Linked DNA regions of Neurospora crassa OR74A. The protein of the gene in region 3 purifies or fractionates together with the protein of the main gene of each other region. This does not show direct contact. Links are inferred from orthologs where the notes say so. Each region holds a gene or a part of one and is shown on either strand. Other genes may lie near its edges. The genes, in order: NCU11175, NCU00404, NCU03764, NCU00981, NCU01524, NCU06217 and NCU02511.

Region 1 (4,061 bases), on a different chromosome or scaffold from region 3:
TATCAAAAGCACACTAGACTTAGCTTGAAGCTCAATTACATTTAGAAACTCAACAACAACAACAGAATCGTGCTCCTCACATTTACTTTCTCCTGCCCTTGCCCTTACCACCCTTACCAGCATTGCCGCCCTTCTTCTTAGGCCCAGCAGACCGTCCCACCTTCTTGACGACCTTCTTGAGGTTCAGCACCGCGCCCTTACCGGCTCTCTCGGCGCTGCCCTTCTTGTATGTCCTCTCCTGCTTGCGCTCTTGCATGGTGTCGAGCTTCTTCCTGTCCTTGTTGCTCAACTTGCCCTCGTTCTTGGACTTGAGCTTGTCCCTGACGCCGTTGAGCTCGGCCCGGCCCGCCGCCTTGGCCTTCTTCTTGTCCTCCTGCGTCTCGAACCACGTGCGCTTGGGCCTCGAGCTGATCTCGTCCTCGTACTTGATCATGTTCTCGCCCTTCTTGACCTGCATCTCCATGTTCTGCAGCTGCTTTTCCTCCTTCTCTTCCTGCATAATCTCCTCAATCTCATCTTCCAACTCGTCGATCTCGGCCTGCCACTTGTCGGCGTCCGCGGGATCGATGATGCGACTGCTGATCTTGGCGCCCTGAGACTTGCCGGCCTTGACGGCAGCCTTGACGACCTTGCGATCGGGCTCAGCAGCCAGGGTAATAGCGGTACCGCTGCGGCCCGCACGCGCTGTACGACCGACACGATGGACGTAGATCTCGGGGGTCTGGGGAGCCTCGTAGTTGATGACGGTGTCGACACCCTTGATATCAAGACCACGTGAGGCGAGATCGGTGGCAAGGAGGAAGTTGACCTTTCCATCTCTGAAGTCCTCGACACTTTGAATACGCTATGGATCCTGTTAGTATCACTCATCCATCTGGAGCATCGTAAATCGTAAACATACCTGAGCCTGGTTCATGCTACCGTGCAACTCGGCGCACGACAATCCAAACAGACCAAAGATGATCCTCATCTTGTGCGCAATCTTCTTTTGTCTGAAGAAGATAATGACACGCTCCGTGTAGATAGTCTTGCAGATGTGCAACAGATATCCTTCCCTCTTCGATTCGCGACCGGGTCTGAGACGGACAAACTCTTGAACAAGCGTACCGGCAGTCTTCTTCTGCGAATCGGCCATGATGCGCACAGGCTTGTTGAGACCGGCGCGAATGAGCCTGTCGACAGACGACGTCATGGTGGCAGAGAACAGCATGGTCTGGCGGGACTTGGGAAGGGTGGTAAGAATCTCGTTCAACTCGTCCGCGAAACCGTCCTCGAGCATGCGATCGGCTTCATCGAGGACGAGAATCTCGATGGTGTCGACGGCGAAGCTGGCAGAGTTGCGCATGTGATCGATGAAACGACCAGGAGTGGCAATGACCACATCCGGGCGAAGACGGAGCTCGGCCTCTTGCACCTTCAGACTGAGACCACCGACAGCCAGACAGAACTTGATGTCGGTATGGCTGGCGAGCTTGACAGCGACAGCGTGACACTGGATAGCCAACTCACGGGTGGGCGTAAGAATAACGACGCGGGTGGTGGGAACCTTCTTGGGACGGTAGAGGAGACGCTCAAGGATGGGAACGACGAAGGCGGCCGTCTTACCGGAACCGGTGACGGCACCACCGACGACATCCTTACCCATAAGCGAAATGGGGATGGTCTTGGCCTGAATGGGCGTCGGCTTGGTGAAGCCCACGGAAGTAAGACCGCGAAGGATAGGACGGGAGAGAGACATCTCCTGGAACGAAGACATCTCGCCCTTCTTCTTAGGCTGATTCTCCTCCTCCGGCGCAAAGAACTCCTTCATCTTGGCCTCCTCCTCCTCATCAATACCCTCTTCATCATCCGATGACTGCACATCATCAGGATGCTCAACGGCCGTAGCAACCGAGTCATCATCCGACGCATCGCCCTCGTCTTCATCCTCTCCCTTCTTCTCCCCATCTTCACCCTCACTATCCTCATCCTCCCCATCAACACCCCCCATCTTCGCATCCTGCTTCTCCTCCTCCTCTTCCACGTCCGACCCAACACCCATACCAAAAGCATCGTCAGCCAAGACACCATCCTCATCATCATCCAAATCCACATCAATCTCTTCTATGTCGTCTTCTTCCTCATCAACCTCCATCTTATCCTCCTCCTCTTTTGTCGCCGTGGTTTTCCCCTCCTTAGCAGCCTTCCTCTCTCTCCTCCTTCTGATAATCTCATCGATATCCACAGCCTTCTTGTCCCCGCCCGCGTTGGCGCCCTTCACAACACCCTTGTGCGCGCCCTCGAAACCCCAGCCGTCGAACTCGGCGTCCACTTCGTTCTGGCCGTCGACAACGAACTGGAACTCGGTATCCATGGCGCCGTCGTCTTCGTCGTTGTCGCCCCAGATGCCGAGGTCGGCGGCGTCGTCTTCTTTTGTTTCGGCTTCGTCGTCGTCATCTTCAGTCTGTTGCTGTTTCTTGGACTTCTTGTTGTTCTTCTTCTTTTGCTTGTTCGATTGTTGTGTGGCCGTCTTGGCCTTCTTCCTGGGTACAACTTCTTGCTCCTCTTCTAGTGGGATGTCTTCTTCATTGTCGGAAATGGTGAGGATGAAATCGTCGTCGATCGCTTTGCGCTTTTGGGAGGGCGCCATTGTGGTGGATGGTGTTGCAACGGTCTGTGACCGTTGTTTGTTCTGTAGTGTTGTGTTGGAAAAGAGAACGACGGGAAGCTCCCGATGCTGAGTGGGAATTGGTGGAATCGTCAAGATTGTACAACTGATAGCAGTCAGTGGGGTCTTTTTTCGTCTCTTCCTCCGCCGCAGAACGAAAGGGAAAACAAAAATTTGGGAACCATGCCCGTCTGTAACTTTTTCTGCCGGGCGGTCAATGTGATTGGAGGATCTGGGGATCTTATCAGTGGCAGCTGGTCGACAGCTGCGGGGATGGGTACGTACCATCTCAACTATCAAGTGAGTACCTGCCGTCTTCGGGAGCAACTCGTTCAACACCACATTGTCCCAAGAAATTGAATACGCGTTCATGTTATAGAGCCAGAGGACCTTGTCCTTACTACAGTAGGACTATATTTATACTTGTGCGGGGCATATGGTCCAGCTATTCTCAACGCAGATGTATCAGCCCGTATTATATGATGATACTACACAGGAGTCATCTACCCCGTCGATACCCAAAATGAACGCCAGACACCTTGCCAATGGTATAATGCTAATCCTCAAACCTTCGCCTCCAAAACATCAGTTGCCCACAACGTAACTTTCTTCACATGGACCGCCACATTATCACTCGTGCTACCGTGTGGAGAAGCTCGCCGACGCTCCAAGGAAGTCCTGGTCATGCCCCTGGTCCTGCTGGTAAGTCTCCTTCTGCTTCTGCTTCTTCTTCATTTCAGCGCGGATTCGTTCTTTCTGCGCCTTCAAATGCGCCATTTCAACATCATCCAGCAAGAATTTCTGCTCATCGATATCCCTTCCACGTCCGGACGCGGATGCTTGCGGGTAGAGAGGGTCTCGTTGATATCCGTCACCTGGCAATTCGTGCTCAACAATATCCCACGTAGCATGATAGTAGCCATCTTTGGTTGGTGGCAGCTCAGCATGCGCCCTTGGCTCCTCCAGCTTACGGATCGCGCCGCTTTCCATTGCAGCGTACTCCTCTGTCGATGCGTATGGTGGTAAAGGACCGTTATTACTGGCGCTCGGGAGATCAATGTCCTCCCATGGATGTCTCCTTTCCATCAGAGATGCGGGTTCGCCTTGTAATTCAACTCCTCTAGGTGGTCTTTCAATCATAGACTCGTCGGGAGGCACTGTAGGCGAAGTCACAGCTGGAGTGGGCGTTACTCGGTTGGGTCCATATGAGACGATTAATGGGGGCTGTGGCCGTTGGGTTTGTGAGGTTGTTGGGTTTGGTCGTGGGAGCGTAGTAGGAACTGAAGGAAGAGGAAGATGTGGTGTTGAAGTTGGAGCTTCGGTTGGAGGAGGGGTGGTGTACTGTTCGTAGTTGTGGTAATCGGGGTAATAGCCACCGAGAGGTGCTGCGGAGGCCGCAGATAACTGGGGCAAT
Region 2 (3,663 bases), on a different chromosome or scaffold from region 3:
TTCAGTCCATTTCTCCACCCCATCCTTCCAATTAACCCAGCTCTCCTTCGCAACCTTCCACTTCCTCACCACCTACCTGACCGTCTTCCTCCTCTCGCGACCTCCCCTCTCGCTCTTTGTCCTCGCTCCATCTCTCCCCGAGACACTCCCCTCAGCGTGGCCATGTCCCTCGATGTGATCCTTCCTCATTGGCTAATAGCTTTTAATTCTGTAACCTTCTACCAAATCGCTTGGATCTTGCTCACGCCAATCGTGGCGTGACGAATCACGTTCTCTACCACTCCGTCTTACCCGAGAGAGCCATGTTGGCTTTGGTCCCAGCTTGTCGTGTGCGGGGTGTGGATAGTCAGTCATTATGATATCCTATCTTTTACCTCTTTCAACCAAAACCGTACCTGGTTCAGCAACAGATCAAACCCAAAAGCAAGTCGAAATCATAACCCTCTAGGGCATCCTCTTCTCACTTCTCGGCATCCTCGGCTCGTCCCTCTACACCATCTGGATCGCCCACTATCACCGCAACTCGGCGGCATCTCCAGCTTCTCTTGCCGATGATACTGAGCAGAATGGCTGAGATTTCGTTGCTGGGTTAGATATCCAGTGGCTATGCTCAAGGAGGAAGCCAAGAAGGCTGGTCATAAATCGTAGAAAGGGAGAGGAAACCGGCGGTACATGCACAGAAAATAGGTAGTCTTGAAGTACAGTCATAGTGACCTGATGTTGATGAATCATGCCTTCCTCCCAAACCCTTTTGTGAACCGATAACGCCACATACACACTTTGAACAAGACAAATACTCTCCAGTGCCAACAGAGACGATGGCATACTGAAAGAAGGGTATCACCAATACTACTATCATGATCAGCCCCCTTAGAGGTTGAAGCGCGTGCGAACCTTCTCCATCTTGGCCTTCCACTCCCACTTCAAAGCATCCTCTCCTTCGCTGCCAGCCCGACCGATACCCTTATCCACTCTACGAAGCTTGAGAGTGAATCCTATCAAAACAAGTCAGCCACTTTCGGTTCATTCGCCAAAACTTTTGTTTTCCGCGGTAGCAAGACTTACTGGGTCCAATCTCCTGCAAACCAGCACGGATACCCTGCATACCCTCCATCTCCTTGCCCTCCGCAGTAACCACGTTCTTCTCCGTCGTGCGGGCCTCGCGGAAGACGTAGCGGTGGCGGCGAAAGAAGATGTAATCACGCTGGTTGTGCAATGTCACGACCTGGCGACCCGAAAGCTCGGGCCTGGGAGGGAACATGGTGTGCATGGATTTAGCGGCGAGGATACCGAGAGGGGTCTTGAATCCATTGAGGAGAAGCTCGGGCTGTATTTTTTTTTTGGTTGCAATGCTTAGTCTCAATGTCCTGTAATTAATGGACTTGGGGATTAGGATGGACGGCTTACGTAGTGGTTTGTAGGGTTACCGTGGCCAAGGAGAGCCTTTCCAGGCAGGTAGTTCCGGATGGTGTATGTCAACGAAGGACCAGGGGCAACATCTTCGCCGTTGAGATGGATGACGGTCAGGGAGCTAGGCTTCTTGAGATCTTCGCCGACAATCATGAGAATCGTGTATCCACGGTCTGTAACAATTCAGGCCTGTGTTAGCAATTTTCTCTTGGGCAACAAAACTCCAACCTGGGTGCGCTACTCACTCTTGGCAAACTTTGCGATCTCGCGAACACTATACTTGTGTCCATACGCGTGCGCACTGCGTCTGATGTACGTGCTGTTGGGAAAGATGGCAGCAATGTCCTCCGCCTCCTTGTGAATGGTGCCGTTCAAATGGGTGGTGACCAGAATCTTGGGGTCGACTGGGGGTTCCTCGTTGAAGAGATTGGGAAATTGTCGTGTGAGCGAGTCGGGAGTCATGTCTAGATTTGTCGACGTGGTCGAGGGAGCGATGCTGGGTTTCCTCTGCGCACGCTCCTGTCTGAGTCTCTCGATGCGCTCCTCGGCATCTTCGTCGTCGTCGTCACCCTCCTCGTCCGAGTCCAACATAGAATCGGCATCGTCGTCCTTCTCCTCATCCTCCTCCGTGACTCCATCGGCTAGCCTGGCGGCCTCGGCCTCCTCCTTCTCCAAGCGCCTCCTCTTGAGCTCGGCAACATCCACAGCGACGCCCAGGCTGTCGTCGTCAACGTCATCCCACACGCGTTTCCTCTCAATGGTCAAGGGTTGGTTGTTTGCGAGGCGCTCTTCTCTGAGTTTGGGATCCTTGGCCTCCTCCTTCCTCCGGCGGTGACGCTCCTCATGGCGTTCCTTTCCCTGCTCCTTCTTTTGCTTGACGTATAATTGCTTTCTGACAATCTTGTTGGAGGTCTTGAGCGACAGCGATCCGCCGGAGCGGTTTTTGCCCTTGTTACCGGACGGCATATCGGCTACGATGTGGTAACACGGCGGTGGGATTAGTGGTTGTCGCGGTGTCAAAATTGTAGGGTAGGATCAATTCTCCAGGTCACAGTTCAAACTTCGACGTGATGCTGGGCAGTTGTTGCTACCTCTACCTGACGGATGAATTGAACGGGCCCGGTAAACTTTCAACTTTTTTTCTGGGCCCAGAGCCATCAAGGGCGCCAAGACGTGCATCTACAAGGGTACCCCAACAGCTAACGCACGGCCTCAGCCGGGGACAGGTACGTACCGCTACCCCTCAGTGTACACTACTACCTGACTGTCACCTGCACAGGATGACTCCATCCCGTCCCTTGCTGTAAGTTGGGACGGAAGCAGAATTTTTGGGATGAAGAACGGCGGCATCACGGACTCTTGATAATCAAATATCAATACCTCTAGCCGATGAAAAGTCACAATAACGCTAGCCAGCGGAATGCGCTTTCTGTAAGGGAGTTACTTAGGTAGGTAGAGGTAGTGTACAGTAGCATGTGCAGTTCCACTTCCTGATATGGCTGGTGGATTCCAGCGAGTCGAGCCTTCTGTCGCGTACCGCGCCGCCACTGACGGCGGCTCGAGAGCGGGAATCTGGACCGCTGTCCCTTGGCTTAGGTTGTCTGGGTCGTTGGTGCCGGCCCCTCCATGGCGCCCCTCTACCCCCCCAAAGAAAAAAATCATCCCGCGATTCGGTTGAAGTACGTGTTTCAATTGAAAAGGCCTCGACGAAACCTCAGTGGGCGACCGTGACTCACTTGGTTCCCTTGAGCACTGTAACAAGACCAATTCATGCGACCTCTTGCCCGTCTCGCCTCCCTCCGTTCTCCTGTTGCTGGTCAAGCATTCAAATCGACCTTATCCACCCGAGCCGTCGCCAGTCGAACTTCTTGGACCCCGGCGCCCATCCCGCGGATCTCTTCGACTTCGCTCCGATCCTTCTCCCTCTCTACCTCGCACCATCGCTTCCAAGTCTACGTCAAAAAACAAAACACCAAGATGACCTCGACGGCCACCACCCTCAAGGGCCAGCCCCTCGACAAGGGCGCTCTCGAGTCCATGCTGCGCCGCCGCATGTTCTTTGCGCCCTCCTTCGATATCTACGGCGGTGTTGCTGGCCTCTACGACTATGGCCCGCCCGGTTGTGCCCTCCAGGCCAACATCATCGACATCTGGCGCAAGCACTTTGTCCTCGAGGAGGACATGCTCGAGGTTGACTGCACCGCCCTGACCCCCCACGATGTTCTCAAGACCTCCGGCCACGTCGACAAGTTC
Region 3 (3,417 bases):
TTGGGCAGGAGCAGGAGCAGGAAGGTGAGGTAGAGGAGGTTGAGGGTGAGGAGGTAGATGAGACACAGGCAGAGGTGGAGGTAAAGCCGAAGGAAGAGAGCGTGGAGGATGTGATGAAGGCTGCGTTGGAGGCTGGGGATTTGGACTTTGATGAGGAGTTGACGCTGGGCAATAGCAGCAGTCAAGCGACGGTTGATGAGGAAGAGGTGGAGAGGTTGAGGAAGATGTCGAGAAGTCACTGAGCCGGCTCTCAAGCTGCTGGTCGAGTGCTGAACAAGAAAGGAAAGATGTCGACGATGCACCTATACCCCGAGACCGACTTGGCTACTTTTAGACGTTGGTAGATGAACCTTGTATAATCCTCAGAACAACCTGACTGGGCTCTGCAGAAGCCATCTAGTCTATGCTCCAGGTCAGTACAGTTTTCGCGTACAGTTTAGTTCAGAAAGAATCTGTCACGGCTGTTCTTGGCCTCGTCCCTGCAGATATCACAAAAATATCCTGTACAGTATTCACATTCCATTTTATCTATCCTGGGTATATCATAACAACCAAGTTCTGCTGCTTCCCTTCTCTTCATCAACAACCCCCTCTTTCCCGACCATTTTTCTTCCTCTACTCGGCATTCACACCCCTCCCCTTATTAATCTGCACCTTCTTATCCTCACCACCGCTGAAGATGCCCAGCTGATCCCACACCACGCTGAACACCTTGCACCCGTCGCCCGTCACACTGCTCTTCTTCTTCTTGCCCTGCTGGCTCTCGCGATCAATAACGTACACGGGCTCGCTGACGCTGCCCATGCCGCCCTCGTCCTTGGTCGCTGGCCGGACCGACCGCAAATCCCAGATCCGGCACGTCCCGTCGTGCGAGCCCGAAACCAGTGAGTACTCGTTCTCCGGGTTCGCCGCCAGACTGACCACCTTGTTGGCATGCCCACGCAGCGTCATGACGCTCGTCGCGGCCGTGCTGGTGCGCGGGTCGACGAGGGTAATGTGTCGGGCGGAGGTGCCGCAGGCGAGAAGGGGCGCCGAGGCCGAGGAGCGCGGCAGGGCAGCGAGAGAGAGGAGCGCATGCGAGGTTGTGAAGGTGCTGACCACGCTGGAGGTGGTCAGGTCGATGGTCTTGACGGTATGGTCCTGCGACACAGAGTAGGCAACGGTGCGGTCGCGGGGGTCGAAGACGGCGGCCGTGGCGGGCGCATTGTGGATGTTCATAAGGGCGAGCGGGCCGCGCTGGGCGGCGGTGACGGAGGTCGCGAGCTTGCGGCGCTTGGATGTGTGGGCGCCGGGAAGGAGCGAGGAATCGGAGACTTCGGGCGCGGACGCCTTGGAGGTGGTCCAGAAACCGATGGAACCGTCGGCGGAGGCAGTGAGGATGCGCTTCGAGGCGCCGTCAACCTCGAGCGAGTCGATCGAGGAGGTGTGGCCGTACAGTTCGAGAGTGGGCTTCAGCTCGCCGCGACGCTCGTACGACTCGCCCGACTCGGTGTACTTCCATACGCGAACTGTGCGGTCCATGCCGGCCGAGGCAATCTGAGTGCTGGAGAGGAATTTGGCAGCTTTTATGCTGGCAGTGTGACCACCGTGGCTGCCCGAGGGCGAGGTGCCAATCACATTTCCAGAGGCGTCCCATATCCTGAGGAGACCGTCGTACGAGGCGGAGAGGATGCGATCTTGGCCGCGCTGAAAGTTGTCGCCGGACCAGCGGCCCGCGGGAGAAGTAGCGGAAAGAACATCGACGGCGCTGACCCAGTCGTCGTGCTCAAAGCTGGCCTCGTATGTTGGTGGGATCAAACTGCGAACGTACTGAAGGGTGATGTTGGTTTCGAGCGAGAGGCCGTTGGCGTTGAGGTACTCTTCAAGACTGCCGCGGAGGAAGCTGCCGTTAACAAGGAAGTCGAAGGGGATCGAGTTGGTGTCGAGCATGGACTCGGAGTTGAGAATACGGGAGAGGCCATAACGGCGGATGTCGGCGGGGACAAGGAGCTGGCGCTTGCTCTCATCGAGCTGGATGTCCTCCTCCTGGGTGGTGAAGGTCACCCGGACCTGGGCGCCTGATTCGGTAGGGTGGTCCATGGCGGTGCCTGTGCTGTGATATTATGTGAATTGGGTAGTCGCTGTTCGGTATGGGCAGGCTGAATACTATCAATTGACAAGTAAAAGTCAGATTGGCTTAGATTACCGTGAAACAGGCGTCGTCGGGAGGAGAGTGTGGATGTTTACTTTGCAGCGGACACCACAAGGCCATGCCAAATCCAAGACTCCATCCAATTTTTTCTGTCCAGCCTTGCAGCGCAGGGGTCTGGAGTGTTCTAGCTACCCCACGTTCCCCTATCTTATCGGAACTTTATAGCGGGGCCGACGGTTCCTGTGAGGGTCACAGTGCTGAAGCGCCGCTACTATGTAAACTATACTAGTATAGAGTAGTACCGGTCATGTACCTGGCTTAATTGAACCCACTGGAGCTACGCGTCTCGAAATTGTCAAGCGCGTCGTCGAGTTTCGTCCCTTGAAGTCAGTTTCCGAGTCGGGCAGCACATGAATAAGTCACCAATTGCTTTTGTCGTTCTCACATCTTGAGCCATTGTCAGTATCAATCATACGATGGTCACCTTGGACGAAGTTCTCGGTAGCGGTTTGCTACAGAAGCCCTCGTGAGTAGCAGTGGATCATCCATCTTCCACTGGCGATCATCAGCTAACAACCCAACTTCACGAAGAGGCGATGCGCCCGAGGCTCTCCAGCGCCAGATCACCAACTACAAGCCCCTTCATACCTTCAAACTCGAAAAAACCCGTCCCTATCAACAACAATATGCCGATATTTACTTTTTGCGTCTTACAAAGATCAGGCCCGCCGTCGAGGCAGCCGCCAGCGCCGCTTGGGAGGGAACAGTGCTTGGTGGTGAGAAGGTCAAGAGGGTCGAGCGTGTCCTAGACGTTCGCCAGGGAGAACTATGCTGGGTAGCTGGAACAGTATATATGGACATGCCTCTAAAGCCCTCAATCCTCGAGGATGTCTCCAAGGATGTGAGTTTCAGCCTATCCTTTGGTGGACACCAGGCAGCTGACAATGATGTTATAGCGCTGGATCTCCGCTCCCACCTCGGTCGGCCACTACTACTCCGGCAACGGCGAAGACTCGGTAATGCTCGAAGACGACTCCGGCCGCATCCGTCTTGTCGGCAACGCTCTGCAAAACCACTTCATGGTGACCGGCTGCATCGTCGCGGTAATGGGCACCGAGAACGCCAACGGCGAATTCGAAGTCATCGACCTCCTCTTCGCCGAACTACCACCACAGCCCGAGCGCTGGTCGCTCTCAAAAGGCAAAAAGGAAGCAGACTCCTCCGAAGACGTCGAAATGATGGACGCCTCTTTCTCCAGGCAGTCCCACAAGCCCTCCTCTAAAAAG
Region 4 (3,576 bases), on a different chromosome or scaffold from region 3:
TTCCTGCGCTTTCCCGGGGCCATTAAAGCTAGGATCCCGAGACATGGGCAAATCGCTTCTTTATATCGCTTCGAGTAGCTCTTCGTTGGTACGGTATCAGCGTTTCGTTGACCGTTGAGTGGTGGCAAGTGGGCTTGAAGAGTACAGAAGTTACTCGTCGGTCTGGATAGAAAATACCTGCTTTTGATTCTTGGAGGCTGGGTTGACCCTGGAGTGATGAAGCTCGGAACTGCTCTCCTTCTAAAATCAAGATACAGAAGACAAGCTAGATGCTCTGAGCTGATGTAGAAGTCAATGTGTTGCCCTTGCGTTAGTTGCTTGCGGTGTTGCATGTCAAATCGACCAGCAAATTTCCATCGACTCAGGATGCAGGGTTCCATACAGCCATTTAGACCTTTGTAAGGTTAATCGCTTGCCAGCATAGTCTGCTCGAAACCCATGGGAGTCAACCTAGATCAAGCGCAGCAGCAACCAGAGAAGATATATCTATGTGTCTTATCGTATTAATCCATGTCTTCTAAACCATCAGGTGATACAATCAACCAAAACAAATGATCGGAGGGTATAATGTTCTACCGCAGATTGTGTGTGTATCTTAACCACTATACTACCTAAGTGAACCCCCGGACGAGATATTTTGCGCGGCCGTGAGTGTCGATCCTCTTTCAAAACACCAGACGCCAGTCCCAGATGCAAAATCAGATTTAACGCAATCCCGTTACAGTTGCCGCCCAAGAGACTAGACATATAATTAGACAAATCAAACCATCACCCTCTTCACTCTTGCGCTTAAACCAGGAGCACAGCGTTCAAGCATCCGTCGTTCTGGTGGAAGTTAAGTATTAGCAGTTCGTCCATGTAAAGTTAAGAGGCGGGGTTGTGCTGGTCATACCTCAGGGTTGTTGGTGATCTGCGCATAACGACCCCAGGCAATTTTGCCCGACGCGGTGACCATACCAAGATCGGAAACGTTGACCTCGATAATAGTACCCTTGGACAGAACACCAAGCTGGGTATAAAGGGGGTTGCTGGGGTTCTTCTTGACGCCGAGAATGGGGAGCTGAACCGTGACATTGAGGGTAGGGTGGGTGACGTTGGCCTTCTTGTAACGGAGACCCATGGGCCGGATGAAGCGTTCGTACTTGACTGGGCGTCTGGTGAAATCGGGTCCGACGAATGTTGGCTTGGTGACGACGCGCTTCCAGCCCTTCTTGTGCACCTTCTTGCCCGTCTTGACGACCTTGAAAAGCTCCTCTTCGCTGATACCCTTGACCTTGGGAATAGGGACCGAGAAACGAGCGGCCTTCTCGGCACGCTTGCTCTTGATCTGGGAACTGCACGAAGAAAACGGTCAGTCTCTCGTCATCGTATGGGACCCTTTCCAACCTCCATGACTACTGCCATCATTGCATTCACATTGGCCTCCACCTCCGCCGCGGCCGTTCGCTTCTCATGTGTCCTCCCATTCAAGTGACGTACCTCAAAGCCTTCGCACTCGTGGGGTTCGAACGGTCGAGCAGATAAGCGGGAACGGGGTTCGAAGGGTCCTTCTCCTCGGGGGCGCCCTTGACATTGCGCTCCTCGTGCTGCTTGATGGCCTTGCGCATCTGGATCTTCTGGGCATGACGCTCCTTGGCAAAGAGCTTGGCCCTCAGGCCACGCAAGTTCTGTGCATTCTCGCTCTGCTTGTGACCCTCACGGGCAGCCTTCTTGCGTGCGCGCTCCTCGGTGTCCAGACGCTTACCGTGAAGCTTCTGGGCGCGTTCTGCGAAACGAAATAATTGGTTAGGGACTGGAAACAGGTCGACGGTAATCAAGATCGAGTGCGAAGGGAACTATACCGATGTATTCGTTCTGAGGCTGTATTCAGGAAAACGTCGGTTAGCATGGTCTGCTCTCAAGTGATCGGAAGGGGTCATGATGTTGAGGAGAGTGGCTGTGGATTGGGAGGGCAATTCGAAGAAATGATATCCGTACCATATTGGTGTTTTAGGCCCTTTGAGGGTCTTGCGGTTCAAGATATGTGGCGACGCAATCTGGCCTTCAGATGTTGTAGGGCGACGAAGGGCGACGAGAATGACGATGCGGTTTAGGTCAATATGCTTCAGTACCTCTACCTATGCGAATGCCTGCTGAACGGACGTCTTGAAGCCGATAAAAAAACCATTCAAGGCTAGCTTTCCTTATCGGGCGGCTCCTCCAGTGGCGGAGACCCGTAAAGAGGTGGACATAGTGGGGCAGCTTCATCACCTGTCATTGGTTGATATCTACTTAACAGCATGTCCAGGAAAACGTGGAGTGGGTTCGGATGAAGGTGCCTGCCAGCTGCAGGGCATTGGAAGTGCACCGCGGCAGCCAGAGCCGCCCGTTGAGGACGAGAACCTTGATGGAAGGCCAGTGGACAACTTTTGTATAGATCCGGAGATCACCTTACCATTCGTAGAATGGCTCCTGCAACTAGGTTATTACCAAGGGACACTAGTTGTGTGGCTCGCATAACCCGCTTCAACGAGCACAGTAGGTATGTCAACAAAGGCAAAACCCAAAGACGTGGTATGCTTGGGGGTGTTAAGATATCTAGATATGCTACACCGTGTCATGACAACCTATACTATAATTCGTCCGACGGGCTCTATTGCCAGCCAACGCCCGCCAATGAAACCGGAATCCGTGCAAAATGACTAAACTCCAGACGCTGATGCAAAATGTTTCTGGGTGTCCGTCCTGTCTTCCAGCCAACGCCATTGCAAAACCGTCTCCAGAAAACGAATTCCTGCCTTGAAATTATCACGATGCGCCGAAACCTTCCCAATTTAGAGGCAAAAGAAAGAAGGAGACACGCCACGCAACCACGACATATCAGCGGTCTCCGGCTCTGGACTTGAGTTTTGCAAGTGCTGCCCGCTTTCTTTCCTCCTTCTCGCGCTTCAACCTCTTCTCCAGCGCCTCCTGCTCCATGTCTTCTCTGCGAGCCTGCAACTCTGCCCGGCGTTCCTCCGCGTCGATGTCGGACAATCCCGCCTCCATGTCTGAGTCATCCTCTTCCAGTGACTCGTAACCACCGCGACGACCATAGCCGTAGCCATCGTCCTCATCTTCGTCGTACTCGATGAAATCGTCCAACTCTTCATCCTCCTCCTCGCGTCTCCGGGGACGTGAGAATGAGGCGCCATAACCGGACAGCCCACGGCCCCTACTTGCGCCTGCCGAGGTGGATGCTCCTGGTTTTGTGGTGGTGGCCCCTGGGCGGGGACGTGCCGTGCCTTGGTATCCAGTCGTCGCTAAAGCAGCCTTCTTTACCTTCTTCTCCTCCACGGCATTTTGGCCTGTCTTGGACTTGGCGCCAGCCGGGGCTGAGGGGGTGATACTCCGCTGACGGTTCGCAGTCGTGCCGTTGGTACCATTGCGGGTTGGCCCAGCTGTCACACCGCTCCTCCCGGTAGTCGGTGGCCTTACATCCTTCTTGCCCTTTTTCGCTTCCTCGGCCTTTAATTCCTTGCGTTCCTTCAGCGTCAACTGCTTCTCCACCTTCTTGTGCTGAATCTTTCCAACGGATGACAGCATGGGCTGATTGGC
Region 5 (3,776 bases), on a different chromosome or scaffold from region 3:
AACAAGAGCGATTTGCGGCATCTGAGAGCCGTACCCACGGAGGACGCCAAGAAGTTTGCCGGTACGTTGCGCGTCACAGCCATGATGACATGGTCGCTTGGGAAAGCCGTATCGCCAGGATGACTGACAGAGAGAACTGCAGAGGAAAACCACCTATCCTTTATCGAGACTTCGGCTCTCGACGCCACAAACGTCGAGCTTGCGTTCCAAAACATTTTGACTGGTAACGTTTGCCCAAAGCCTACAGCTGCTGCTCTGGCGCGAGCCTACCGCTAACATGCGATCATTTATCTAGAAATCTACAAGATCGTGTCGACCAAGAACTTCGACAACGGCCCCAGCGGGTCCAACGAGGGCCACCAAAACCTGTCTGGCCAGAGCATCTCGCTCAGTCAGACCGCGAACGACCCCCAGGCGAAGTCTGGCTGCTGTTAGGAGGTGCTTGATTCTCCGGGCCGGGAACCGAGTGGCCCTGAAGGGTTGAGGTGCAGGGTGCAGCAGAGTACAACAGGGTGCCGAACCAACAACGGCGTCACATATGTCTGACATGAAGCAATGGAGGCTTATGATGAGCAATGAAGAGCAGCATCGGGGGAAAAGTACGGACGGATCCTGCCCAGTCTTATTACATCACGGTCGCCGATGGGATGGTCTGTTTTTCTTTTTCTCTCTATTTTTTTGGGCTTTTGGGGAGGGGGGAAAGGATCATGATGCTCGTCTTCCAGCCTTTCCTTTTTGTTGTTATTACTACTACTACCCCTTTCTTCCCTTTTCCCCCCGTGCTGGTCGTTGGAATTTTCCTCAATGTGGTTAACGAAGCCATCACTTGCGCATGGATTACGAAAGATATTATTTAGTTGAAATGAACTATGGGCGATAAACAGCCCTTAACTCAACCTGGTACATATTGCTCCACGTTGTCAAGGTCTCCATCTATTGCATCCACAATGTGGGAGAAGAGGAGTACCTCGAGAGTGAGTACCTATGTAGCGATAATCGTGCAGGATCTCGTTATGACATTCAAGTTGATTATGTGCGACAGCGGGAAACAGTCAATACAAATTAAGACATCTGGGCTTGCCTGATGGATTATGGCGACTGTCCCTCATTACTCCCATCGCGTCACCCGAGGCGGTTGAAGTGGGTTTGAGTGCGGACAAGAGGCCAGTCCCGTCCCATCCCCCACTGTAGGGCAGACAAGAAGAACGCGTGGAACTTGGACAGTGTGTGTAGGCAATGGAATCCCCAGAACTTGGGGGTCCGGATTCCAGGTTGGGTCCATCAGTGGGACAAATGCGGGTTGCCCAGACCGCCGACCGCCTTTCAGCTGTTCCAAGCAGGGGGGCCGGAACAGGGACGCTAGTAAGATAAGAGAAGCTTATCGGAGTGGGGCTGCGATTGGCCGGCGAACTTTTTTTGAGATGGAACAGCCTGCACTCCATCACTGCGCTTCGCCCGCGACGTTCGTGGATTGGAGCATTGAATTCACCTTTGCAATCCGCATTCCGTTTTTCTGCCATCACTTCCACCACAACCACCACCAACTTCAGTCACCCTTGTTTTTCGCCCGATTTTGATACCCAAAGAACGACAAGAACAAAAAGAAAATGGCCGCCGTTTACAAGTCGCTCTCGAAGAGCGCCAAGAAGGTCGAGGACACGGAGAACGACAACAACACCACCACCACCAATGGCGGCTTTCGGAAGAACAAGCAGAGAGTTCTGATTCTCTCGTCCAGAGGCGTTACCTACAGGTACATATAGACCCTGCATACCTGCAAGATGGAAGAAGAAAGGGTCAATTGCTAACCGCCTTTGCGCCCCGAGTACAGACACAGACATCTCCTCAACGATCTCGCAGCGATGCTCCCCCACGGCCGCAAAGACGTCAAGTTCGATTCCAAGTCCAAGCTGTACCAACTGAACGAGCTTGCCGAGCTCTACAACTGCAACAACGTCATGTTCTTCGAGGCGCGCAAGGGCAAGGATCTGTACATGTGGTTTAGCAAGGTTCCTAACGGCCCTACGGTCAAGTTCCACGCCCAAAACTGTGAGCACTATCCATATCCGAGATACGCATTGTGAAAGAGGAAAAATCGGGTTCTAACAAAAAGCACAGTGCACACCATGGAAGAGCTTCACTTCACGGGTAACTGCCTCAAGGGCTCGAGGCCACTCCTCTCCTTCGACCTCGCCTTCGAGCAAGAGCCGCACTACCGCGTCATCAAGGAGGTGTTTCTGCAAATGTTTGGCGTCCCCCAGGGCGCGCGCAAGTCAAAACCGTTTATCGACCACGTCATGAGCTTCAGCATTGCCGACGGCAAGATCTGGGTACGCAACTACGAGATCCGAGAAGTGGAGAAGGCCAAGGGCGAGAAGGACAGCGAAGGAAACGACATTGTCCCCGAGAGCGACAAGTCATCATCGAAAAAGAGAAAGGGCGCGCCCAACGCGGAGCTCAAGGACACAGACGTCAGTCTGGTTGAGATCGGACCTCGGTTCGTCCTAACGCCCATCATCATACAGGAGGGCGCGTTCGGCGGCCCCATTATTTACGAGAACAAGCGCTTTATCTCCCCCAACCAGGTGCGCTCGGAGCTGCGCAAGGCCAAGGCGACCAGGCACAACACCAGGGTGGAGCAGGTCAAGGAGAGGCTCGGCAAGCTCGAGACCCTCACGGCCCAGGCGAAGAAGGAGAAGGATGTCTTGGATACCCGGGAGCTCTTTGCTTAGAGAAAGGAGGAGGAGGGGAAAGAGAGAGAGAGAGCTTTTCACAACACGATTTCATCACGTCTGTTCGCTTGCGACACATCAAAGCAACGCACGCCTTAGGTTTAGGGGTAATCAAGGAGTTTTTTGTACTTTTGCTGGCTGGCTGGTTTGGTCTGGTTCGGGAAAAAGAAAGGAAATCGATTTGCATTGTACAACATTACAGTATTCGTGGGGATGTGTGAGACGGACGAGCTGTCCTCTTTTGACAGTTGGGAAAGAGGATCATGATCGAGTGGTAGATGAGCACTCAGCGTATAAGGTGCTGGCTCGAAAACGGACACATCAGATCAAGATTGAGTGATGAACGCCGTCCTGGCTCCGGTCTTGGTCGTGTTGAAAGGAGATGGTCAAAGAAGGGTAGGAGAGCAAGTACTTTGCTCGGCACCTCACTAGCGGTTGACTGTCTATAACCACACTCCTGAGGGAGATGTTGTTCGCATAGGACCTAGACTCTACCTTAAATGCAGTTGCGCTGTGAGATATTGTCTCACATTTTTGCTCCATGATTTGGGTTGTTTCCATATATATAAGAGACACGAGGTGTCTCTTTCGTTGAGTTGTTGGGATGATATCACCACCTTCAGTACACTCCTCAAGGAGAAGAAGAAGAAAAAGTACCATGTTTTGTCCCAAGGTAGCTTTGGGCGACATCGTCCCAAATTTCAGATTTTCTGACGGACTAGCCATCTTCTCAGGGGCTTTGGGTCGTCTAAGTCATGTAGTGTGCCTGGGAGTTGGCGCGAGTTTGGTGCTTCTTGAAAACAAGAGATAAGGACTGGAGCCGATACCTAGGACGTCGCTCCTTAAAGCGAAAGACAAATGGCTTGAGTCTAATGTTGAACACGTATGGCTAACGCTTTTGATCAAAATTTAGAAGCAAAAAAAACGACTCGGAGTACTTTGGTCATGACTCAGGTTCACTCATCGATATCGGAGGAGAGAGTTGAGGATAGGTTGTAGAGGGTTCACTTCACTCATTGTGAAAGTTCGCTACAGGGGACCTGT
Region 6 (4,097 bases), on a different chromosome or scaffold from region 3:
GCGAGAAAAACAAAGCAGGCAAACAGGCGTTCTATTATATAATAATAGCATGTAGAGGGCGTACAATATTATTGAGCGTTGTCTTGGTTAAGAACTGCCAGCGAAAGAGTTCACGAGTGTCCACGGCGGAAATAGACTGAGAGGTGTTGGAAAACGCTAAGGGATTGCTTTTGATCGTGATAAAGGTATACTTAGATAGCAAACAGGAAAGGCCCTAAGAATAACATAAATGGTTTAACATTCCGGGCCAGCAGCAGAAAAACACACACTCTCTCCCTACATTAGGTAAACTCCAAGAGCCCAGGCTTATTTCTTGCCCCTAATGTTAGCCTTCTTTTTCCTCTGTTGCCTCTTTCTCGCCAGGATCTTGGTCATGAGGGCCTCCTTGACCATCTCACTCTTCTTGCCCTTCTTATCCACCTTGATATCTTCAGCCTTCACCTCCTTCGCCGGGGCGGCGCCTGCGGCCTTGGCCACCTCAGCCGGGCCCTTCTTATCCTTGCCCTTGTTCCACCCAGCAGGCTTCTCAGGCTTAGCGCCCTTCTTCCTATCCGCCTTCCTTCCAGCCTTGTATGCCTCCTTGGCCTCCTTGGATCTCTTCTTTTCCTCCATCTCCGCCTTCCTTTCCGCGGGCGTCATCGTCCTTTGCTTCTCCTCATCCTGTCTCCTCCGCTGCACCACGTTCGCGTTCTCGATCGCGAACTCGACAATCAGCCTTTGCGTCTTGCCCAGCTCGTTCTTGACGGCAAACCCGTTCAGGTAGCGCAGGCCCATGAGCGCCCAGCGGTGCGACGAGTACTCGATAAAGCCGTAGCCACGCGACTTGCCGCCACCGACCTTTTCGTCCACCTTGGTGCCCGTGGTCGTCTCGAACACGATCTTGGCCTGCTTGACGACACCCTTGCCCTTGAGCTTCCGGAGGCGCTCGTTCTCCTTGTCTTGCTCACCACCGCGCGAGTTTTCTTCCTTGGAGATGGGCGCGCGCTTGCCTTCCTTGACGTCCTTGGCGAAGCCGACGACGGCCTGGCGCGCGAGCGCCTTGAGCTCCTTGGACCCGATGTTGCGCGGCAGGTTGCGCAGCGCGAGACGGGTGAGCGACAGGTGCAGCGACGGGTTGGACTGGATCAGCTTCTTGCGCTGGTTGGCCGACGCTTCGCGCATCTTGATTTCGGCCGGGGTAAGGACCTTGAAGAGCGTAGACGAGGGTGTGATTTGGCCCTCGTTCAGGAGGTACAGGCGTCTCTTGTCCTTGTCCTTCTTACCGGCCGAGGCCTCCGCGAGACGCTCGGCTTCGTCCTTGGAGACGGCGTGGGCGACTTGAAGGATGCGCCCGTCGAGCGTGTACTTGCCCTCCGGATCGACGGTCTCGTCTTGAAGGATGGAGTGCTTGACGAGTGTGGTGGTAGGTTGATGGCGGGGGGCGCCCTTGAGGCAGGCCTTCATCTCCTCCTCGTTGAAAAAGCACACGAAACCGGTACCGGCTGGCCTGTCGGTGGCCTTGTCCTTGACAACTCGGGCGTATCTGATGCCGCCGAACTGGGTAAAGTGCGCCTTCAGCTGCTCATCGGTGGTGGTGTATGGTAGGTTGCGAATGAAGAGTGTTAGAGAGTTGTCGGTTAGCCGCTTGGGCTTCTGTTCCTCCTCCTCATCCTCCTCGTCCTCCTCGTCCTCCTCGATATCATCTTCGTCCTTGTCCTCATCGTCTTCATCCTCGTCCTCCTTGTCCTTGTCTTCGTCCTCCTCGTCTTCACTCTCGAGGTTCTCGCCTTGGCTCTTGAAGAAGTTGTAAAGATCCTTTTCCTCCTGTGTCATGCCAGCAGTCTCCTCCTCCTCTGTCTTCTTGTCCTTGGGTTCCTTAACCTTCTTGTCCTTTTTCTCCTTCTTGTCGTCTGACTTTTCGCCGTTCTGCTGGGCCCATGTCTGCTTATCCACGGCCCAGTCGACGGCCAATGGGCGGCCATCGACCTCCATGCCATTGACGGCCTCGATAGCCTTTTCGGCATTCTTGCGACCACGGAGGGTGACGAAACCGAAACCAGAGAGCTTGCCCTTATCGTTGGGCAAGTCGGCGAACCTGACCTTACCATATGGCTTGAATAGCTCGGCCAACTGCTCAGGCTTCTTGATGCTCCATGGCAGGTTGCGGATGATGAGTTTGTTGGGTTTCTGGGCCTCGGCGACGGCTTCGGCACGTTTCTGCTTCTCCTCGGCGACCTTGGACACAACGGGTCCGGTCTTCTTGGCATCACGGTGTCTGGCTTCGGCAATGTCGAGCTTCAGGCGCTTCCCTTCAAGCAGGTAGTTGTTGAGCTTGGCCTTGGCCTCGAGGGTATCCTCGGGATCGGTGAAGGTGACGAAACCATAGCCGCGCGAGGTCTTGGTCTTGGGATCGAGGACGACGGTGGCATGCTTCACAGGGAAATGTTGGGAGAAGAACTCGGTCAGAGACTCGGCGGTGGCACTTGGAGGCAGCTGTCGGATGAAGAGAGAGCGGTTGGATTCAACTCTAGCTTTCTTGCTTGGGGGGTTCTGTGCAGCAACATCGGAATCCTTGATGGCATCGGGATCAACTGGGATCTCCTCGTCCACCTCGCGTTGGCGCTTCTTGTTCCCGTCCTTGCCCATTATTGCAAGCAATCGGGTTGTTATGTTATGTGTTTGTTAGGTGGTGTTGTTGTTGAAAGAAGGGGAGAGATGAGAAAGCAGCCAAATCAAACCAAAAGTGAAGAGAACAGACCCTCTCAAGGCGCAAATGGTGGATGGGAATCGCCGAGTGCACAGCTTCCCCCAGCGACAACAGTTCTGGACCCTTCGCCCAAAGAAAAATATTCGAAGTGGAGTCCCGATAAGAGCGTACAAGGGAGCTTATCGTTTCCCTCAAGCTTGGCAGCGGGATCCTGAGCCCGTCTCTTCCACTTCCTCTCTTCGCGCGCTTCCACAATCCACACCAAAGGAAAGGCGGGGCGCACAGACCATTCAAGCTCACCAGCAGGGTCGATACGTTTTGCGACATACAGCGCAGCGAGCAGCGCGACCCCTCTGCAGCAGGTCAGACAGTCCCTCCCGCTAGGTGACGACGGGGCCGCCAGGAAATTCACAGCAGCCCACCTGCAGTGCAAAGTAAACAAAACAACCTTCATTCGCGAATAGTGTCACTTTCATTCATCCCCGGCTCCTGCTCAGTTGCAAAAGCCATCCTACGAAACCTCACATCCGTCTTTTTTTTTTGCTTGTTTTCTTATATCTTGGGCTTGGATTACTTGTACCTTTTCCATATCGCATACAAATAGAGGACTGCCGCTGTGCAGGCCCCGCTAATACCAACAGTCATTGCCGACCATGGCGCCGGGCAGATCGACGAGAGCGACACGCGGGGCGCGCCAGACCTCGGTCGTACCAGAAGCACCCTTGGATACTCCCGACAATGCGCTACGCACACAAGTCGCGACCGTCTTCGGCGACGCCCAAAAGACCACGGCATCCCATCGCAAGCTGGCCGTGACCCTGCGCAAGATACAAGAAGCATGCTGCTACGAGCCGACGAGTACGAAGAAGCCCGCCGAGGCCGACGAGTTCGAGGAAGATGACTTCAACAAGGAGTTTGTACGCTGTGTCCTGCGCGTCATGCCCATCAAGAAGAGCGAGGGAGTCGGCGAGAAGACGGTGCGCTTCATCGGTCTGTTCCTGCGGCATGCCGTCGAGAAGGATAACGAAATTCTCGGCGAGGCCGACCCGGACGCCAGCACCATGCCCGAGACACCCAGCACCCGGCTTACCGGACACTTGATGGAAACCGTTCTTCCCTTGATGATCGCCAAGGACAAGTTTGTGCGCTATCGGTCAACGCAACTCATATCTCATATCATCAACTCCCTCGACGCGATTGACGACGACCTCTTCCAGAAGCTACGGTCAAGTCTACTTAGGAGGATTCGCGACAAGGAGGCCATGGTCCGGGCACAGGCTGTGCTGGGTCTTGGACGCTTGGCTGGCAACCAGTTCGAGGGCGAACCGAATTCCGACGATAGCGACGATGATGGATCGACTGGTCTTCTCGAAAAGCTCCTCGAAGTCTTGCAGAACGACCCTAGTGCCGA
Region 7 (4,279 bases), on a different chromosome or scaffold from region 3:
CCAAACCTCTCCTGCGCATAGCGTTGCGCTTAGCGCGCTCCATGTACTCCTTGTCCTCACCATCATCAAAACCGCCAAAGTCATCCTGGGCTTCGCACTCGGCACCAATGGGCGTCTTGTCGACAACTTCTTGGGCTTCCTGGGAAGCTTGGCCGTCCAGAGGCTTGTTGGACTTGTCGACGCCGTTGGCGCGGACAGCAGTGGCGGGCGTGGGGCCGAGTTTCTGGAACTTGGCGACGAAGAAACCGTCGACTGGAGGGTTGTGTTAGTGATGAAGGAGGGGAGGGAGGGAAAGGGGGTATAAGGAGGCGAAACGTACCGTTGTAAAGATGGGGGTAGTATCTGCGGGTGAGCTTGAGGCTGGGGTGGAATGATTTGCCCATGAAGCTGGTGAAGCCTTCCTTGCCGAAAGCCAAGCCAGTCTCGACGAGCTTGACGTTGGGACGGCGGCTGAGCGCATAGGCAACGACTTGCTCACTGTTTGTAATCTTGGGTTAGCGTCTTCTGAAAGTACAGTTAAGAACGATATGGAAAACGCACTTTTCCTCAACGGCAACGGAACACGTCGAATAGACAACGTAACCACCAGTCTTGCTGGCATGGTCAACCGAGTCGATGGCAGCCAGGAGAAGCTGCTTTTGGAGATGGGGGAGCTGCAGGAAGTCCTTCTCGTCTCTGTTGGTCTTAACAGAGGGATCCTTGGCAATGACACCAGTGCCCGAGCATGGGGCATCGAGCAAGACTCTGTCAAAGCCACCCATGACCCTGGGGAACTCACGCGCATCGTAGTTGCATACGATAACGTTTCTTGCGCCCAGTCTGTGAATGTTGCCGATCAAACCTTTGGCACGCTGCTTGCTGGGATCGTTCGCAAAGATCACACCGGTGTTCTTCATCAACGCCGCCATATGGGTGGTCTTGCCACCGGGGGCAGAGGCCATATCGAGAACACGCTCACCCTCCTGGGGGCAGAGAGCCATCACGGGCAGGAACGAAGACGCGGCCTGGAGGATGTAGTGACCAGCCAGATACTCAGGCGTGGCACCGAGGGGAACGCTTTATGCCCCAGTTGTTAGCCATTTGCATGAATCGCGTCGTTGTAGTCCTGATTTAGAATATACGTACTTCGAGTCAAAGACTTGCAGACCGACCTTGGACCACTTGCCTACAGGCTCGAGTGTGACACCGCGGTTGATGAGTGCTTGGGCAAGATCGCGGCGATGTGTTCGGAGGGTGTTTGTACGGATAACGACGGGGCGGGCACTCTCGTTGGCTTCGAAAAAGGCGAACGCCTCTCTGGGAGGGAACAGGTTGCTACAAACAGTCAGACAGTTTCCCCACTGGTGGTATCGCCGCAGACAGGCATGCGACAGGTTGTAAAACATACAAAAGCTTTTCAGCGAGGTACTCGTTGTAACCGTAGTCTGGCAAAACCTGAAGTTAACATTTGTGCATTTCACGAGAAGTATTGCGCAAGGAACATCGGGTCCTTACAGGCACAGATATCCTTGATGAGTTGGCTGGTGTACTCGGCGCGACTCTTGCCCTCTTCCGCCGAATTCGAAAAGTCGTCCAGGATACGGATGGCGTCTGTTATCCTCGTTCTCAACATCTGGAGATCGGGTGCCAGCAAAGTTTTGGTCTTAGTCTGAAGTTGGTCGTCGTCATCACCGAGGTCATCACCACCAGCGATGTTGGTCTGGAGCGCCTCGTCGCGCAATTCGGCCTCGTTCTCCTCTGCTTCCTTCTCTCTTTGCATATCCAATTTCCTCGAAAGACCCTCGATGTTGGCGGCTGTGAGCTTCTCCTCTCTATCCTCTTCGTCATCCTCATCGTCAGAGAAGACGAATGCCTCCTTCTTGGTAGCACCGTCCTGGTCGGAATCGTAAACCGAGTCGTCGTCAGTGCCGAGGAAATCGTCTCCTAGCTTTTGAACGTCCATCTCATCGCCGTCGATATCAAGGCCCTCCAGGTCGGACGCGCCAAACTCGTCGTCCATCTCCTCGTCATGATCGGGCGAAGGCTGCTTTGCCTTCTTAGGCTTCTTGGACTCCTTGGACCTGTGGGCGGGCTTTGTGCCAGTCTTCTTCACCTCCTTGACCTCTTTCTTGGCGCCCTTGACTGCGACAGTGTTGGAGCCGGATGTCTTGGGCTGCTTCTTGACAATCTTCTGCTTCTTGGATCTTCTAGTGTCGACTTCGGTCGTGGTTTCGTCAAAGGGAATGCCCTTCTTGCGCTTGAGGTTGGCGAAGTGCTCCTCCGAGAGGGGCTCAGGAGGGCCCTGTTTCTGCATGCGACGTCCGACACCCATTTTGATGGTATTGCTGGTCGTCTGGTGGTGATTGGGATGTTGTTGGGGTTGGTTTGAACACTGATAGCCCACCATCGACAGGCGCTTGTGGATATTTCTCCGGGTCGATTTTCTTTTCTGAAAAAGCTTATCGATAGCAATGCCAAGTCTCTTTCCTCAAATCGGGTTCCACCTCACTGCGGTCCCAAAAGGTGAGCCATTGGTCAGTGCCCCACATTAGTCAAGCTGGGCCAAGTTCGGAATCCCTGTAGCAACAGCTGACGCTACCCCTGGAGCTGGGCTGTTCTGGAGTAGGGAACAGCTGCCCCTGGAGCCCGGCATGAACGGCGCCCCCGGAGGCAGGCGGCCTGGAGGTATAAGGTACCTAGAGGTAGGAAATGGAAGGACCGTCTGACGGACCTCGCAGGAGAGGCGATCAATGCGGGCAAAGGAAAGTAGAAGGATGACGGGATGAGGGCGGGCAACCTGGACCGGGCGGACAGCTTGAAGCGAAGGGGGCAGGCAGGCCTCCCGGGCAGGCGCCTGCCGCCTGGTCTAGGCGCACCCGACGCAGGGGGAAGCACTGAATGGAGCCGGCGCCGGTGGGCGGTGGACGCCCCGGCCGCGAGGTCCCGTGTTAACACATCACTCAAAAGCAGGCAGGTAACCTGAGAGGTACTAGAGGTACCTTCCGTCTGCGCTGAACAGTTGCGGCATGTACAAACACACTGGACAGCTGGAGAGGCATCTCACCTCAGCACCTTCCATCTTTCCTGCTGTATCTTTCATCTCTCACGGTACTAACTTCCCGTAACAAACGACGTCTCCTCTTGCTGCTTTGCATCCTTCAACAACCGCGATTCTTCTCTATTCTTTCTGCTGGAGCATTGAAGTGAGGTGACATCGAGGTACCTGCTCGCCTTTACTTTACGTATCTGTAACTGAGCGGCAAATCGCGACTCACCTCTCACCCACAGTTTGGCGGCGGGTTTTACTGCGTACCTGCCTTCTGGACCTTGCGTTAATCCTTCCACCTCCAACCTCCTACCTACCTCTACCTACCTGATTCATCCGTCCTCTTTCCCCCTCCCCATTTCTCGGGAGCTCGGTCATTTTCCCCCCAAAGTACAACCAACCACCACCACCACCGCCTCCTTTCACGTCGCCGCCATTCCATTCAGTCCACGGAGCTTCACGAGCCTCCATTTCCCCAATCTTTCTACTTCCCAGCGGATTCACCTTCCAGCCGCTTTTGATAAGTTGGCTGCTAATCTTCGTCACTCTGCGCGCAGCTTAGCGCAACACCACCGCCCATCATGGCTCAGGCCCTACCCATCAAATTCCAGGAGCTGCTGCAACTCAGCGCCCTCGGCATCAACCAGACTGCCATCACTTTCAATACCTGTGTACGTTGTCCTCACCTTGCTCTGACTCTGCTAGTGACAGTTGTCGCGCCTCCTCTGGCACCCCTGCTGACGTGAACCCCCCGCTCCCAGACTCTAGAATCGGACAACTGGGTGTGTATTCGCGACAAGAAGGACGAGGCAGCGTCCCCTGAAGTCATCATCGTCGATCTCAAGAACGGCAATAATGTTATCCGACGTCCCATCAAGGCCGACAGTGCCATAATGCACTGGACGCGCCAAGTAATTGCCCTCAAGGCCCAGGCGCGCACACTCCAGATTTTCGACCTCGAAAACAAGGCCAAGCTCAAGTCGACAAACATGAGCGAGGATGTCTTGTTCTGGAAGTGGGTTAGCGAGACCACGCTTGGCTTGATCACAGATGGCTCTGTTTACCATTGGGATGTCTTCGACCCGAACCAGCCCGCTCCGGTCAAGGTCTTCGATCGTAATGCTAATCTCCAGGGCAACCAAATAATTAATTATCGGACCAGCGCCGACGGAAAGTGGATGGTTGTTGTCGGTATCTCACAACAGCAGGGCCGCGTTGTTGGCGCCATGCAGCTCTATTCCAAAGACCGCGGTA

What was found.
Region 1: the proteins of NCU03764 (region 3) and NCU11175 purify together in Saccharomyces cerevisiae (affinity purification with mass spectrometry; 5 studies listed by BioGRID). This does not show direct contact. The link is inferred for Neurospora crassa OR74A from reciprocal best matches to the Saccharomyces cerevisiae genes YTM1 and DRS1.
Region 2: the proteins of NCU03764 (region 3) and NCU00404 purify together in Saccharomyces cerevisiae (affinity purification with mass spectrometry; 4 studies listed by BioGRID, with this or other methods). This does not show direct contact. The link is inferred for Neurospora crassa OR74A from reciprocal best matches to the Saccharomyces cerevisiae genes YTM1 and RPF1.
Region 4: the proteins of NCU03764 (region 3) and NCU00981 purify together in Saccharomyces cerevisiae (affinity purification with mass spectrometry; 4 studies listed by BioGRID, with this or other methods). This does not show direct contact. The link is inferred for Neurospora crassa OR74A from reciprocal best matches to the Saccharomyces cerevisiae genes YTM1 and NSA2.
Region 5: the proteins of NCU03764 (region 3) and NCU01524 purify together in Saccharomyces cerevisiae (affinity purification with mass spectrometry; 3 studies listed by BioGRID, with this or other methods). This does not show direct contact. The link is inferred for Neurospora crassa OR74A from reciprocal best matches to the Saccharomyces cerevisiae genes YTM1 and BRX1.
Region 6: the proteins of NCU03764 (region 3) and NCU06217 purify together in Saccharomyces cerevisiae (affinity purification with mass spectrometry; 3 studies listed by BioGRID). This does not show direct contact. The link is inferred for Neurospora crassa OR74A from reciprocal best matches to the Saccharomyces cerevisiae genes YTM1 and NOP4.
Region 7: the proteins of NCU03764 (region 3) and NCU02511 purify together in Saccharomyces cerevisiae (affinity purification with mass spectrometry; 7 studies listed by BioGRID). This does not show direct contact. The link is inferred for Neurospora crassa OR74A from reciprocal best matches to the Saccharomyces cerevisiae genes YTM1 and NOP2.

What each region holds. Positions count from the first base shown.
Region 1 is NC_026503.1:3,110,112-3,114,172, reverse strand, and holds the start of NCU11175 (ATP-dependent RNA helicase drs-1), read right to left. Parts: upstream 2,801-4,061; 5' UTR 2,630-2,800; coding exon 902-2,629; intron 845-901; coding exon 83-844; 3' UTR 1-82. Other genes in the region: NCU00234 (hypothetical protein), read right to left, coding at 3,287-4,061. UniProt on the Saccharomyces cerevisiae protein: ATP-binding RNA helicase involved in ribosome assembly.
Region 2 is NC_026503.1:3,739,871-3,743,533, forward strand, and holds NCU00404 (RNA processing factor 1), read right to left. Parts: upstream 2,515-3,663; 5' UTR 2,377-2,514; coding exon 1,656-2,376; intron 1,584-1,655; coding exon 1,408-1,583; intron 1,328-1,407; coding exon 1,066-1,327; intron 996-1,065; coding exon 871-995; 3' UTR 501-870; downstream 1-500. Other genes in the region: NCU00405 (glycyl-tRNA synthetase 1), read left to right, coding at 3,181-3,663. UniProt on the Saccharomyces cerevisiae protein: Essential protein. Required for biogenesis of the 60S ribosomal subunit.
Region 3 is NC_026505.1:2,340,292-2,343,708, reverse strand, and holds NCU03764 (microtubule associated protein), read right to left. Parts: upstream 2,274-3,417; 5' UTR 2,080-2,273; coding exon 616-2,079; 3' UTR 501-615; downstream 1-500. Other genes in the region: NCU03765 (3'-5' exonuclease/helicase), read left to right, coding at 1-242; NCU03763 (DNA polymerase delta subunit 2), read left to right, coding at 2,608-2,657, 2,723-3,032, 3,088-3,417. UniProt on the Saccharomyces cerevisiae protein: Component of the NOP7 complex, which is required for maturation of the 25S and 5.8S ribosomal RNAs and formation of the 60S ribosome.
Region 4 is NC_026501.1:6,508,714-6,512,289, forward strand, and holds NCU00981 (ribosome biogenesis protein NSA2), read right to left. Parts: upstream 2,165-3,576; 5' UTR 1,981-2,164; coding exon 1,978-1,980; intron 1,861-1,977; coding exon 1,842-1,860; intron 1,766-1,841; coding exon 1,480-1,765; intron 1,335-1,479; coding exon 893-1,334; intron 826-892; coding exon 790-825; 3' UTR 501-789; downstream 1-500. Other genes in the region: NCU00980 (hypothetical protein), read right to left, coding at 2,860-3,576. UniProt on the Saccharomyces cerevisiae protein: Involved in the biogenesis of the 60S ribosomal subunit. May play a part in the quality control of pre-60S particles. Under normal, rapid growth conditions, high levels of NSA2 would allow the progression of pre-60S particles through the ITS2 processing.
Region 5 is NC_026502.1:3,192,924-3,196,699, reverse strand, and holds NCU01524 (ribosome biogenesis protein BRX1), read left to right. Parts: upstream 1-1,456; 5' UTR 1,457-1,607; coding exon 1,608-1,753; intron 1,754-1,831; coding exon 1,832-2,049; intron 2,050-2,118; coding exon 2,119-2,732; 3' UTR 2,733-3,276; downstream 3,277-3,776. Other genes in the region: NCU01523 (GTP-binding protein ypt3), read left to right, coding at 1-61, 143-223, 296-435. UniProt on the Saccharomyces cerevisiae protein: Required for biogenesis of the 60S ribosomal subunit.
Region 6 is NC_026503.1:1,936,196-1,940,292, reverse strand, and holds NCU06217 (nucleolar protein 4), read right to left. Parts: upstream 2,801-4,097; 5' UTR 2,626-2,800; coding exon 307-2,625; 3' UTR 143-306; downstream 1-142. Other genes in the region: NCU06216 (nuclear condensin complex subunit 3), read left to right, coding at 3,340-4,097. UniProt on the Saccharomyces cerevisiae protein: Required for 60S ribosomal subunit synthesis. Probably involved in the processing of 27S rRNA to produce mature 25S rRNA.
Region 7 is NC_026501.1:2,564,206-2,568,484, reverse strand, and holds the start of NCU02511 (S-adenosylmethionine-dependent methyltransferase superfamily domain-containing protein), read right to left. Parts: upstream 2,801-4,279; 5' UTR 2,387-2,800; coding exon 1,495-2,386; intron 1,425-1,494; coding exon 1,388-1,424; intron 1,315-1,387; coding exon 1,126-1,314; intron 1,057-1,125; coding exon 541-1,056; intron 478-540; coding exon 320-477; intron 253-319; coding exon 1-252. Other genes in the region: NCU02510 (clathrin heavy chain), read left to right, coding at 3,607-3,696, 3,787-4,279. UniProt on the Saccharomyces cerevisiae protein: S-adenosyl-L-methionine-dependent methyltransferase that specifically methylates the C(5) position of cytosine 2870 (m5C2870) in 25S rRNA. Required for 60S ribosomal subunit synthesis and processing.